Macaca mulatta: one gene and its partners. The main gene of each other region encodes a partner of the protein of the gene in region 2 in a complex. Links are inferred from orthologs where the notes say so. Each region holds a gene or a part of one and is shown on either strand. Other genes may lie near its edges. The genes, in order: ACVRL1, BMP10 and BMPR2.

Region 1 (3,655 bases), on a different chromosome or scaffold from region 2:
GGGGGGGCGGGCAAGACTCTGGGATTTAACTGGCAGAATGGTCTGCCCAAGATGGGGGAAGTTGACCTAGTGCAAGCTGAGCCTCAATGTCCCCTCCCCCAGCCACCCAAACTCCTTCGGAGCAGCCGGGAACAGACAGCCAGCTGGCCCTGATCCTGGGCCCCGTGCTGGCCTTGCTGGCCCTGGTGGCCCTGGGTGTCGTGGGCCTGTGGCATGTCCGACGGAGGCAGGAGAAGCAGCGGGGCCTGCACAGCGAGCTGGGAGAGTCCAGTCTCATCCTGAAAGCATCTGAGCAGGGCGACAGCATGTTGGGGGTATGGGCCTGGGGACCTGGGACACAGGGTGGAGTGGGGCAGATAGCAACTGCGGAATCAGAGGGGTCATCCAGAGAGTAGAGCCGGTGGGGAGCTGGGCGAGTGAGGAGCTTGCAGTGACCCAGCAGGTCCCAGGTTGAGGATGGAGAATGGGGCTGCGGCTGGTTAGGGCAGCTTTTGAGTGGACTCTCCATACCCCCAGGACCTCCTGGACAGTGACTGCACCACAGGGAGTGGCTCGGGGCTCCCCTTCCTGGTGCAGAGGACAGTGGCACGGCAGGTTGCCTTGGTGGAGTGTGTGGGTGAGCAGTGGGTGAGCCCGGTGGATGAGGACCAAGGGCTCTCATGAGCCTTGAGGGGTGAGGGAGTTCTTGGCTTCCGGAATCACAGGCAGTGCCAGGCCTGGGTCAGAACTGGAATTCTGCTGGGCAGGGAGTGGGCTGGAGACGGGCCAGGGCTAGGTTCTTTCTGCAGGACCGGGGTGGAACGAGAGGCAGCTGGGGGTGGCCTGCCGCTGGGTTTGGGTCTGGATTAACTTAAACCTAAGGGTCAGGGGTTCTGTGGGTGGGGTGGGCGAGGGAGGCAGCACAGCATCAAGATAAGGGGCTCCTCCAGGGCTCTGTGTGCCCAGTGTGTAACCCTCACCTTCCCCTCTGGCCATCAGGAAAAGGCCGCTATGGCGAAGTGTGGCGGGGCTTGTGGCACGGTGAGAGTGTGGCCGTCAAGATCTTCTCCTCGAGGGACGAACAGTCCTGGTTCCGGGAGACTGAGATCTACAACACAGTGTTGCTCAGACACGACAACATCCTAGGCAAGGGGAGGGGCCGGCTGTGCCAGGCCTGGGGCTTTGCCCTCCTGCACTCAGGGCTCGAATTCACAGACCTCCAGACATTAACAGAACCCTGAAGGACTCCCAGCCCACCTGCAACACCAACCTCTTTTTTTTTTTTTTTTTTTTTTGAGACAGGGCCTCGCTCTGTCACCCAGGCTGGGATGCAGTTGTGCAATCTCACTGGAACCTCAATCTCTTGAGCTCAAGCGATCCTCCCACTTCAGCCTCTTGAGTAGCTGGGACCACAGGCATGTGCCACCATGCCCAGCTAACTTTTTTATTTTTTGTAGAGACGAGGTCTCCCTATGTTGCCCAGACTGGTCTCAAATTCCTGGGCTCAAGCGATCCTCCTGCCTTGGCCTCCCAAAGTGTTGGGATTACAGGTGCAAGCCACTAAGCCAGGCCCAGACCCAACCTCTGACTCCAGCTCTGTCTCTGACCTAAGCCACATCAACCCCCACCCCAGACCTTGCTTAGCAGTGACCCAGCCCATTCCCTCTCCCCCGACCCCACCCTGACCCTGACCACTCCAGCCTCCCTTAGCCCCAGCCCCTTGGCTGAGTCACCCGACCCTTCTGTGCACAGGCTTCATCGCCTCAGACATGACCTCCCGCAACTCGAGCACGCAGCTGTGGCTCATCACGCATTACCACGAGCACGGCTCCCTCTACGACTTTCTGCAGAGACAGACGCTGGAGCCGCATTTGGCTCTGAGGCTAGCTGTGTCCGCAGCCTGTGGCCTGGCACACCTGCACGTGGAGATCTTCGGTACACAGGGCAAACCGGCCATTGCCCACCGTGACTTCAAGAGCCGCAACGTGCTGGTCAAGAGCAACCTGCAGTGTTGCATTGCTGACCTGGGTGAGCTGGGCAGGGCAGGGGCAGACCCTTCACAGGTGGGCACAGCTCGTGCTCTCTCCTCTCCTTTGCCTATGGGCGGTGACCATGATGGGCGCTTGAAAACAGAGGTGCATGTTGTCTCAGTTCTCCTCTGCAAGACCGCATGAGTTGTCTGAACACCCTTTTCAAACCAGACTCCTTCCACCATACCATCCTGGCTCCAGGAGTTGGGAGAAAGGAGGCAGGAGCCAGAAACCTGGATTCTCATTCCTGGCTTCGCTAACTATATCCCTCCCCGGCACCAGCCTCCGGCTCTGCTCCATGAAGTGGGCATCATAATGCCTGCCTTGCCCACTCACATCTCGCTGGGTTCTTGAGAACCTAAAGAGCACTACATAAGCAAAGAGTACCTGGGGCGGTGGTTCTCTCTGTGGTCACTGTCTTCCAGCCCATCTCCATGCAGGTCTCCATCTGCCTCCCCCTCTCTGTCCCACTGCTTCTCTCAGTCCCCACCTTGCCTGCCCCCTGGACCCCAGGTCAGGGAGAGGGACAGGAGTGACAGGCCTCACCCCCACAGGCCTGGCTGTGATGCACTCACAGGGCAGCGATTACCTGGACATCGGCAACAACCCGAGAGTAGGCACCAAGAGGTACATGGCACCCGAGGTGCTGGATGAGCAGATCCGCACGGACTGCTTTGAGTCCTATAAGTGGACTGACATCTGGGCCTTTGGCCTGGTGCTGTGGGAGATCGCCCGCCGGACCATCGTGAACGGTGAGTGTCCACCCTACACAGGGTAGGGAAAGGGCAATTGGCCCGTGGAGCCAGGGGCTTCCTGCCATGGCCAGTGCCCATGGCCTGGGAGGTTTGCAGCCAGACCTCCTGGCACCCTTTCCATGCAGCCCACCAGCTGATTCAGCTGAGTGACCTTTTAAGGTATAAACCTTAAAAACAGATAACGGGGTCTGTGAGTCTGGCTGTGAAATCTTGTACGTGATAATAACAGAAATATTAATAGCAGCTAACATTGATTGAGCTTAAATATGTGCCAGATGCCATGCTATATACTTTACATGTATTATCTTATTTGATTCTTTGATATGGGCAAGGCAGTGGTATTGCTTAGTGGCTAAGACCATAGGCTTGGAATCAGACTTCCTGGGTTCTATTGCTGATTTTGCCATGACCATGGGTAGGTTATTTGGCCTCTCTGTGCCTCAGTTTCCTCATTTGTAAAATGGGGGCGGTGGCTTATGCCTGTAATCCCAGCACTTTGGGAGGCCGAGGCGGGCAGATCACCTGAGGTCAGGAATTCGAGACCAGCCTGGCCAACATGGCGAAACCCTGTCTCTACTAAAAATACAAAAATTAGCCAGCTCTGGTGGCACACGCCTGTAATCCCAGCTACTCGGGAGGCTGAGGCAGGAGAATTGCTTGAACCTGGGAGGCAGAGGTTGCAGTGAGCCGAGATCGCACCACTGCACTCCAGTCTGGGTGACAGAGTGAGACCCTCTCTCAAAAAAAAAAAATTAATAAATAAAGAAAGAAAGAATAAAAATAGCTTCCAGTTGTTGAGATAATCTAAGTATTTAGAACAATATCTAGAGCTAAATATTAGTGGCCGTTATTGCTGTAGATAGAATGAGTGCCTGACCTCATATTGTCCCC
Region 2 (2,619 bases):
GGAGTCCCACCCAATCTCCTTGAAGTCGATGTAGAGCGGGGTCCTCTTACAGTAGTTTCCTTTGGCGTTCCTTCTGATTCGGGCAGTGGAGTCGTAGATGATGTTTGATCTCATCTGCAACAAAGCCTCTTCCCCAGGTCCACCGGAAAAGCCATCCAGGCCCAAGTTGTCTAGCTCTGGAAGTTGCTCATGGGAAATCATTTCATTTAGTTCCTCCTTCCTCTCCTTGTCACTGCTTTGGTCATCAGAAAACACTATGAGCAAAGGGTTATGCTTATTCTGGGCACTGGTGTCTATTTCCAATCGTCCACTGCTGGCATCCTCAGCTTCATCGTGTTTGCTCTCAATGTGAACCTCCAGCTGGTGGGTGGATGAGCCTGACTTTTGCCAATGTCTGATGGCATCTGTGACATCAAAAGTCTCCCACTCACTGTTGGTTCCATAGATCTCCCCTGACACCAAGACCAGCATGTTTCTTTCTCCCTCATTATCCCCTTTGCTCTCCAGCACTTCAAAAATGGTAATTTTCCGGTCTACTCCATCGTATATCATACGATCCCTTTGCACCAGTGTGTACAGCCTAAGTTCAGCCATGATGACCTCTTCATGGTGAGGAATGGACACATTGAAGAGGAGGGGGTATTTTCGGAGTCCGTTAAAACTGACTGGCTGGGAAAACAGATCTGAAAAAAGAAATTTGCAAAAATCAGGTTTGCAGAGGGTCTCAGGGAAAAACAGATGCTTATTTATGTAATAAGAAGGCCTTCCCATGCATAAAGCTTAATGCAGAAAGAATGAAGGGAGAAGATCAATGAGGACAAACACAATGTCAGCATTCTGTGTGACACAAGAAATCCCGAAAGGTCAGTGGTAGAATGCCCAAAAGAGTTCAGTTGCCAAGACTAAAATGGAAAATGGGGGTCTAATGGATGGGGTAAAACTCAGTCAGCCTTGCTTGAATAGCTCATCAGACACAGAATTACAGAACTGGGAGAGAACTTGGAGATTGCGTGGGCAAGTCCCTAAATTTCCTGACCAACAAAGAGCCATCAAATGGGACATGTGATTGTTCTTTTCTTGAAGCTTTTCAAGGGTGAGGACTTCATGGTTTTTTAATATTTGTGTTTGTAGTGGGTGGAGATCCCCACACAGTTGGCTGGGCACTGTTCTTCCTAAAAGACCTCCATTTAGATCAGAGGTTGGTAAATTATAGCCTATGGGCCAAAATGGGCCTGCTACCTGCTTCGGGAAATAAAGTTTTATTGGAACACAGCCTCATCCACTGTTTTTGTATTGTCTGTGGCTGCTTTTGCACTATAATGGCAGAGTTAAATAGACACGACAGAGAACATACAGCCTGCAAAGCTTAAAATCGTTATTATCTGTCTGGACCTTTACAGAAGAAACTTGCTGACTTCTGTTCTAGGCAACAAAGCCTGACAAGGTCAATAAGACAGCCATAAACCAAGAGGGTCACAGCAATTGAATTTTGGTTATATGGTCCTCTATAAAGAGTAATGGGAGAAAGTGAATCCTGGGACTAGATTGGTTGCCTTAGTCTTGTACCCCTAGCACCTAGCATGGAGCATGGCACATATAACTCATTCAATAATGTTTATGAATCAACTCTGTAAAAGTCCTTTAGTCGTAAAAGGACACCTCCAAATACTATCATGTTGACTTCCTATCTGAATATTTTACAGTTAGCCCAAAGCTCCTGTACACTTGCCTCAGGTAATGAGTCTACAAGGAAGCCCTGAAGGCATTTGCCATCAGATTATCAAAGGGCTCCATGGCACTGAAGATGCTAAGGACCACCAATTGGGGGTTCTCCCTCATCATTGGCAACATTTCTCCAAGTATATACTTAATTCATGATCTCAGTGAGTCCCTGTTCCAGATTATAATCTTTTAATATTTTTTTAACTTGATCTAATTATTTTACACTTATTATCTATTTTAGACTTTACAATGATGTTCCTAAGCAACATCATTCATGAAAGGAGAGATTTGAGGTGATATTTATTTATGTTTGCTAAAAATCCATATTAATAAAAATATACAATTATTTCACATGATTCATAGCTTTCTATGGGAACCACTTAAAATCATCTCACACACTGCCAATGGGAAATACTTACCTACAGAATGAATTTAAACTCCCTGGAATGGCTTTCAAGATCAGCTATACATGGGTCTTAGCCTCCTGATCAGACATAACTTCCTTACATCCTCCACAGTGCACGGAACACTGTGATTACTCAGTAATATTTGTGAACAATTGAATGGATTTGTAAACCCTTCTGTCTCAACTACATTGATATCTTTACCACCTGTCAAAACACTCTTTTTTCCCCGTAATTTTCACGTTTTCACTTGTTCTTCTGACCCTTGGAAAGCCCTTTCACCTCACCTCCACCTATCCAGCTCTGACATCTCCTGTAAAAGGCTCCCTTACTTCTTTATCTGAAAGTTCCCTCCCCTCCCCTCTGAAATCACTTGAGCACTTTACATCTCCTTTGATCTTTGTCATTTACATCCTTATATTTCAGCCATCTTTTTATGAATGAATTTTCCCAACTAGATTGCCATCCTCCTGGTTTGAATGGCTCAAAACTC
Region 3 (3,655 bases), on a different chromosome or scaffold from region 2:
AGGCAAACTAGTAGGTCTCTTGGGAAGGTTCTGTTGCTTGGGGAGAGGATAGATCTGAGTAGGCAGAACATCAGGAATTAAACATGCTTGGCCATTTGCAGCCTGTGTGAAGTCCTGCTGTCCAGTTGCTTCTACTGCAAGTTTTATGAGTGGGTAAAGCAAGCTAGAACTAGTACTGCTCAGTGGGTCTGGCCCACTGAACTGTTTAAGAGAGTGCTCCATGAGATTCTCATCAGAGCTTTCCTTGAGGTTCTTATCAACTTCTTTTGGGTCTAGCTTGTTGGTCTCCAAGTCTTCTTCTGTCAGCTGTAGGCAGACAGGGGTTGGCCCAATTGACTGTGCAACATTTGTGGCATGCAGATTTGTTTCATCTGGGTATGGCATCTCAGATATAGTAGTCATGCCAGTACTTGGTGTGAGGCCTGTGGTGTTTGTGGTTGTTGTGTTGGTGGAGAGGCTGGTGACACTTGTTTCAGGGCTGGGTATTCGAGCTTGTGCTTGCTGTCGTTCATAGTTAATCGAATTTCGGTTTTTTTCCCCTATAGTCAAAGGTGTGCTGGACATAGAATGCTCAGAGGAAATATTCTTCACGATGCTGTCGGTATGATGGATAGAGTCTTCAATGTATGAGGAGGAAGAATAATCTGGATAAGGACCAATTTTTGGCACACGCCTATTATGTGACAGGTTGCTTAAAGAAAGAAAAAAAGTATCACATTGAGAATGTACATTTATGATAAATTGTCTCTCCAAGTTTGACACCTCTGATTTTAAAGTCTGAGTCGTTTTTCATTTTCTTCCAAACACATATTTTTCTAAAGGTTAAAAAGTCTAATCAAATAATCAAGTGTCAATTAATAACTTGATAAGTGTTAGTTATACATGAATTAAGCCTACTGAAAAATGTATGTGGATCAGATATAATTTTTATAAATGTTTATTATTTTGGTTTATAAGAGTTAATTTAAAAATCTCCCCTATAGTTGTGTAACATCATTAAATATATATTTATGAAATGTATATTCATATAACTAGACATTATGTTTTATGAGAGGAAGAACCATGGTATATGTTTTCTGTACTTCCATAATTCTAGATGCATGGTGCCTACTCAAAAGTTATGTTATCAATTAAGTTCCAATGGCCAAATGGTAAAAAGAATATAAGCTTTTAGGTTGTTCCAAAGGCCTCCAATAAGAAGCACACCCTAGTAATGGCGCATATCTTTCTGGGATAGTCTGAGTCATATCAGTAAAAGTCCTTGAGCCTAAGGTATAAGGCAGAATATGATGTTCAAATAAAGGATCAAAGATTCAGAATTGCTCTCCAATTATCATGGGTTCTTTGCTGTCATTGTCATTCCTTGGGAATGTCCGTTATTTATAAGGGAGATGACAGGAGGAAAAGAAGAAAAAGTTGTTATACAGTACAAGAAAAGACATGGAGGGTAAGATTCAGTAAAATAAAACTTAGAGTAACTATGGGATGAATGATAATTTTGGGGAAATTATTAGTAGAGACTGGAGATGAGAAGATGCATGCAGAAGGTTGAGCCGAATGACACAGGAGGCAAAAAATGGCCAAATCAAGGTGGGCCATCAAGGGTTTTTTTTCTTACCATTCAAGAAAAGTTTGAAAGCATTCAAAATAAAAGCTTTAGCTGACTTTTGAGAGAGGTATAAACATCATACTAGAGGACATGGTTTTGAAATACAGAGATGAGGGGAGATGAAAGCAGAAGACAGTCCTCAGGTATGTGTAAAGTGAAAAAATTTATAATTAGAATAGCCAGTGTCTAACTTTCTTGATTTGCTGATATATAAGGTGTAAGAGTTTATAACCGACACTAATTTAACCTATATAAAAGTAGTGCAAACCAAATTTTTGACCTATGGCTAATATAAATGGCTTTCACAAATTAGAACAACAGAAAATAGGCTGGGCGCGGTGGCTCACACCTATCGCCTATAATCTCCAGTACTTTGGGAGGCCAAGGCAGGTGGATCACCAGAGGTCGGGAGTTTGAGACCAGCCTGGCTAACGTGGTGAAACCCTGTCTCTAATAAATATACAAAATTAGCTGGGGATGGTGGCTCATGCCTGTAATCTCAGCTACTCGGGAGGCTGAGGCAGGAGAATCGCTTGAACCCAGGAGGCAGAGGTTGCAGTGAGCCAGGATCATGCCACTGCACTCCAGCCTGGGAGACAGAGTAAGACTCAGTTTCCAAAAAACAAACAAACAAACAACAACAACAAAACAAACAAACAAACAAAAAAAACCCCAAAAAACCACACAGGAAAAAAAAAAAAGTTTCAAGAATCGAGTTTATTTTTATTTCAATCTTCTCCAATAACCCTTTCCTGGATGCCTTTCTGAAAGTTTTAAACATGTATTAGACAAAATGACAGAGTCATACAAAGGCTTTTTTACCCCAAATATGGAACAAAGAAATACAGACGTAGAAAGTTCCAAATTGTAGGAATTTTTAAAAAGCCTTTTTATTTAGAACCAAAAATCACAGTTCTAGCAAAGAAAAAGTCTTGTAAAGTAGTATTAATGATGGACTAGAAAGACCTTTGAATTGCTTTCATGTAAAAGTAGTAGTAGTATACTCTATAAGAAAGAGCATTAGATAGGAAGTCTAGAAACCTTAGTGTCAGTGAAACAGTGGTTAGATAGGCAAGTTCATAGTTCCATTTACTTAAAAAAAAAAGCAGAGGAAGAAGGAATAGTAACAACAAAGGATAAATGAGACAATTTACATAGAAGTGCTTATGAACTTTTGGAGTTATGGAAACATTTTACCTTTATTATTGCAGGAAAGTTGGACCATAAATAGAGAAAGACTAACTTCTTTCACTATACCTTTACATATAAAAAAAATGCAGATTTCATCTCGCACTCGTACCAAACAAAAATGTTCAATAGAAGAATAGGAATATTGAAAGAAAAATGATAACTTTAGACTGTATGAGATAATCATTGAACCATTAGGCTGGTTTAAAGGTATTTATTTTCTGTTATTTATTGGGTCTCAGTTTCTAATACTGATTGACAGGTGCCACACCCCTTAGGGTCTTACCGTTCATTCTGCATAGCAGTAGTCATTGGATTGACTGTTGGGCTCACAGATTTGTTTCTTTCCCAAATCATCATAAGTTCAGCCATCCTTTCCTCAGCACACTGTGCAGTAAGCCGAGCCTCTGCATCCTGGTCCCAACAGTCTTCGATTGTCTCCTTGAGTGACCTCACTGCCTGTAAGACAAAGTACATGTCAAACCGTGTATCTTTAAAAAAAAAATATACTGAACTTTTCAGTTCACAACATGAGGTAAAAGAAAAATCAATTACCTTAACCAGTATATTTTACATAGCTAAAATAACGTATTTTAGGCTTCAAGGATTTATAAAGGAACATTCTCAAAAGGTGATGAACAAGTAAACAAAAAGGATTTACCTCAACTCCCTGAAGAATTATTCATTAAGGTAAAAGCAACAATAAGTCGCAGATGTTTCTTCAAGGCCACAGGTTTAGGTCATTGTTGTTAATTCACAGTTATATTATGTCAATCAACAGTCACTAACTCTGCTTCAAAAATAAGTTTTGAGTTTGATGGAATTTGGGGGCATTTGGCTATCTTCTATCTCTAGGTG

Evidence for each region.
Region 1: the proteins of BMP10 (region 2) and ACVRL1 are in contact, whole or in part, in a crystal structure (PDB 6SF1), measured with the Homo sapiens proteins. The link is inferred for Macaca mulatta from reciprocal best matches to the Homo sapiens genes BMP10 and ACVRL1. Residues at the interface, in NP_055297.1 of Homo sapiens: Tyr322, Asn357, Tyr358, Pro359, Ala361, Glu362, His363, Pro366, Thr367, Lys368, Ile371, Leu375, Leu378, Lys379, Ser381, Lys386; in NP_000011.2 of Homo sapiens: His40, Val54, Val56, Arg57, Glu58, Glu59, His66, Gly70, Asn71, Leu72, His73, Glu75, Leu76, Phe84, Val85, His87.
Region 3: the proteins of BMP10 (region 2) and BMPR2 are in contact, whole or in part, in a crystal structure (PDB 7PPA), measured with the Homo sapiens proteins. The link is inferred for Macaca mulatta from reciprocal best matches to the Homo sapiens genes BMP10 and BMPR2. Residues at the interface, in NP_055297.1 of Homo sapiens: Tyr329, Lys333, Asp338, Ser339, Trp340, Ile342, Ala343, Pro344, Pro345, Gly346, Tyr347, Glu348, Glu395, Pro396, Ile397, Ser398, Ile399, Leu400, Leu402, Val407, Tyr409, Phe411, Ala417; in NP_001195.2 of Homo sapiens: Asp38, Ser64, Tyr67, Leu69, Lys81, Cys84, Trp85, Ser86, Ile88, Gly89, Asp90, Pro91, Gln92, Glu93, Thr103, Thr104, Pro105, Pro106, Ile108, Tyr113, Phe115.

Annotation. Positions count from the first base shown.
Region 1 is NC_133416.1:59,096,208-59,099,862, forward strand, and holds part of ACVRL1 (activin receptor type-1-like), read left to right. Parts: intron 1-102; coding exon 103-314; intron 315-516; coding exon 517-616; intron 617-978; coding exon 979-1,125; intron 1,126-1,731; coding exon 1,732-2,007; intron 2,008-2,563; coding exon 2,564-2,761; coding exon of another isoform or gene 2,762-2,783; intron 2,784-3,655. UniProt on the Homo sapiens protein: Type I receptor for TGF-beta family ligands BMP9/GDF2 and BMP10 and important regulator of normal blood vessel development. On ligand binding, forms a receptor complex consisting of two type II and two type I transmembrane serine/threonine kinases.
Region 2 is NC_133418.1:55,899,681-55,902,299, reverse strand, and holds part of BMP10 (bone morphogenetic protein 10), read right to left. Parts: intron 684-2,619; coding exon 1-683. UniProt on the Homo sapiens protein: Required for maintaining the proliferative activity of embryonic cardiomyocytes by preventing premature activation of the negative cell cycle regulator CDKN1C/p57KIP and maintaining the required expression levels of cardiogenic factors such as MEF2C and NKX2-5.
Region 3 is NC_133417.1:107,759,982-107,763,636, reverse strand, and holds part of BMPR2 (bone morphogenetic protein receptor type-2 precursor), read right to left. Parts: intron 3,257-3,655; coding exon 3,084-3,256; intron 692-3,083; coding exon 1-691. UniProt on the Homo sapiens protein: On ligand binding, forms a receptor complex consisting of two type II and two type I transmembrane serine/threonine kinases.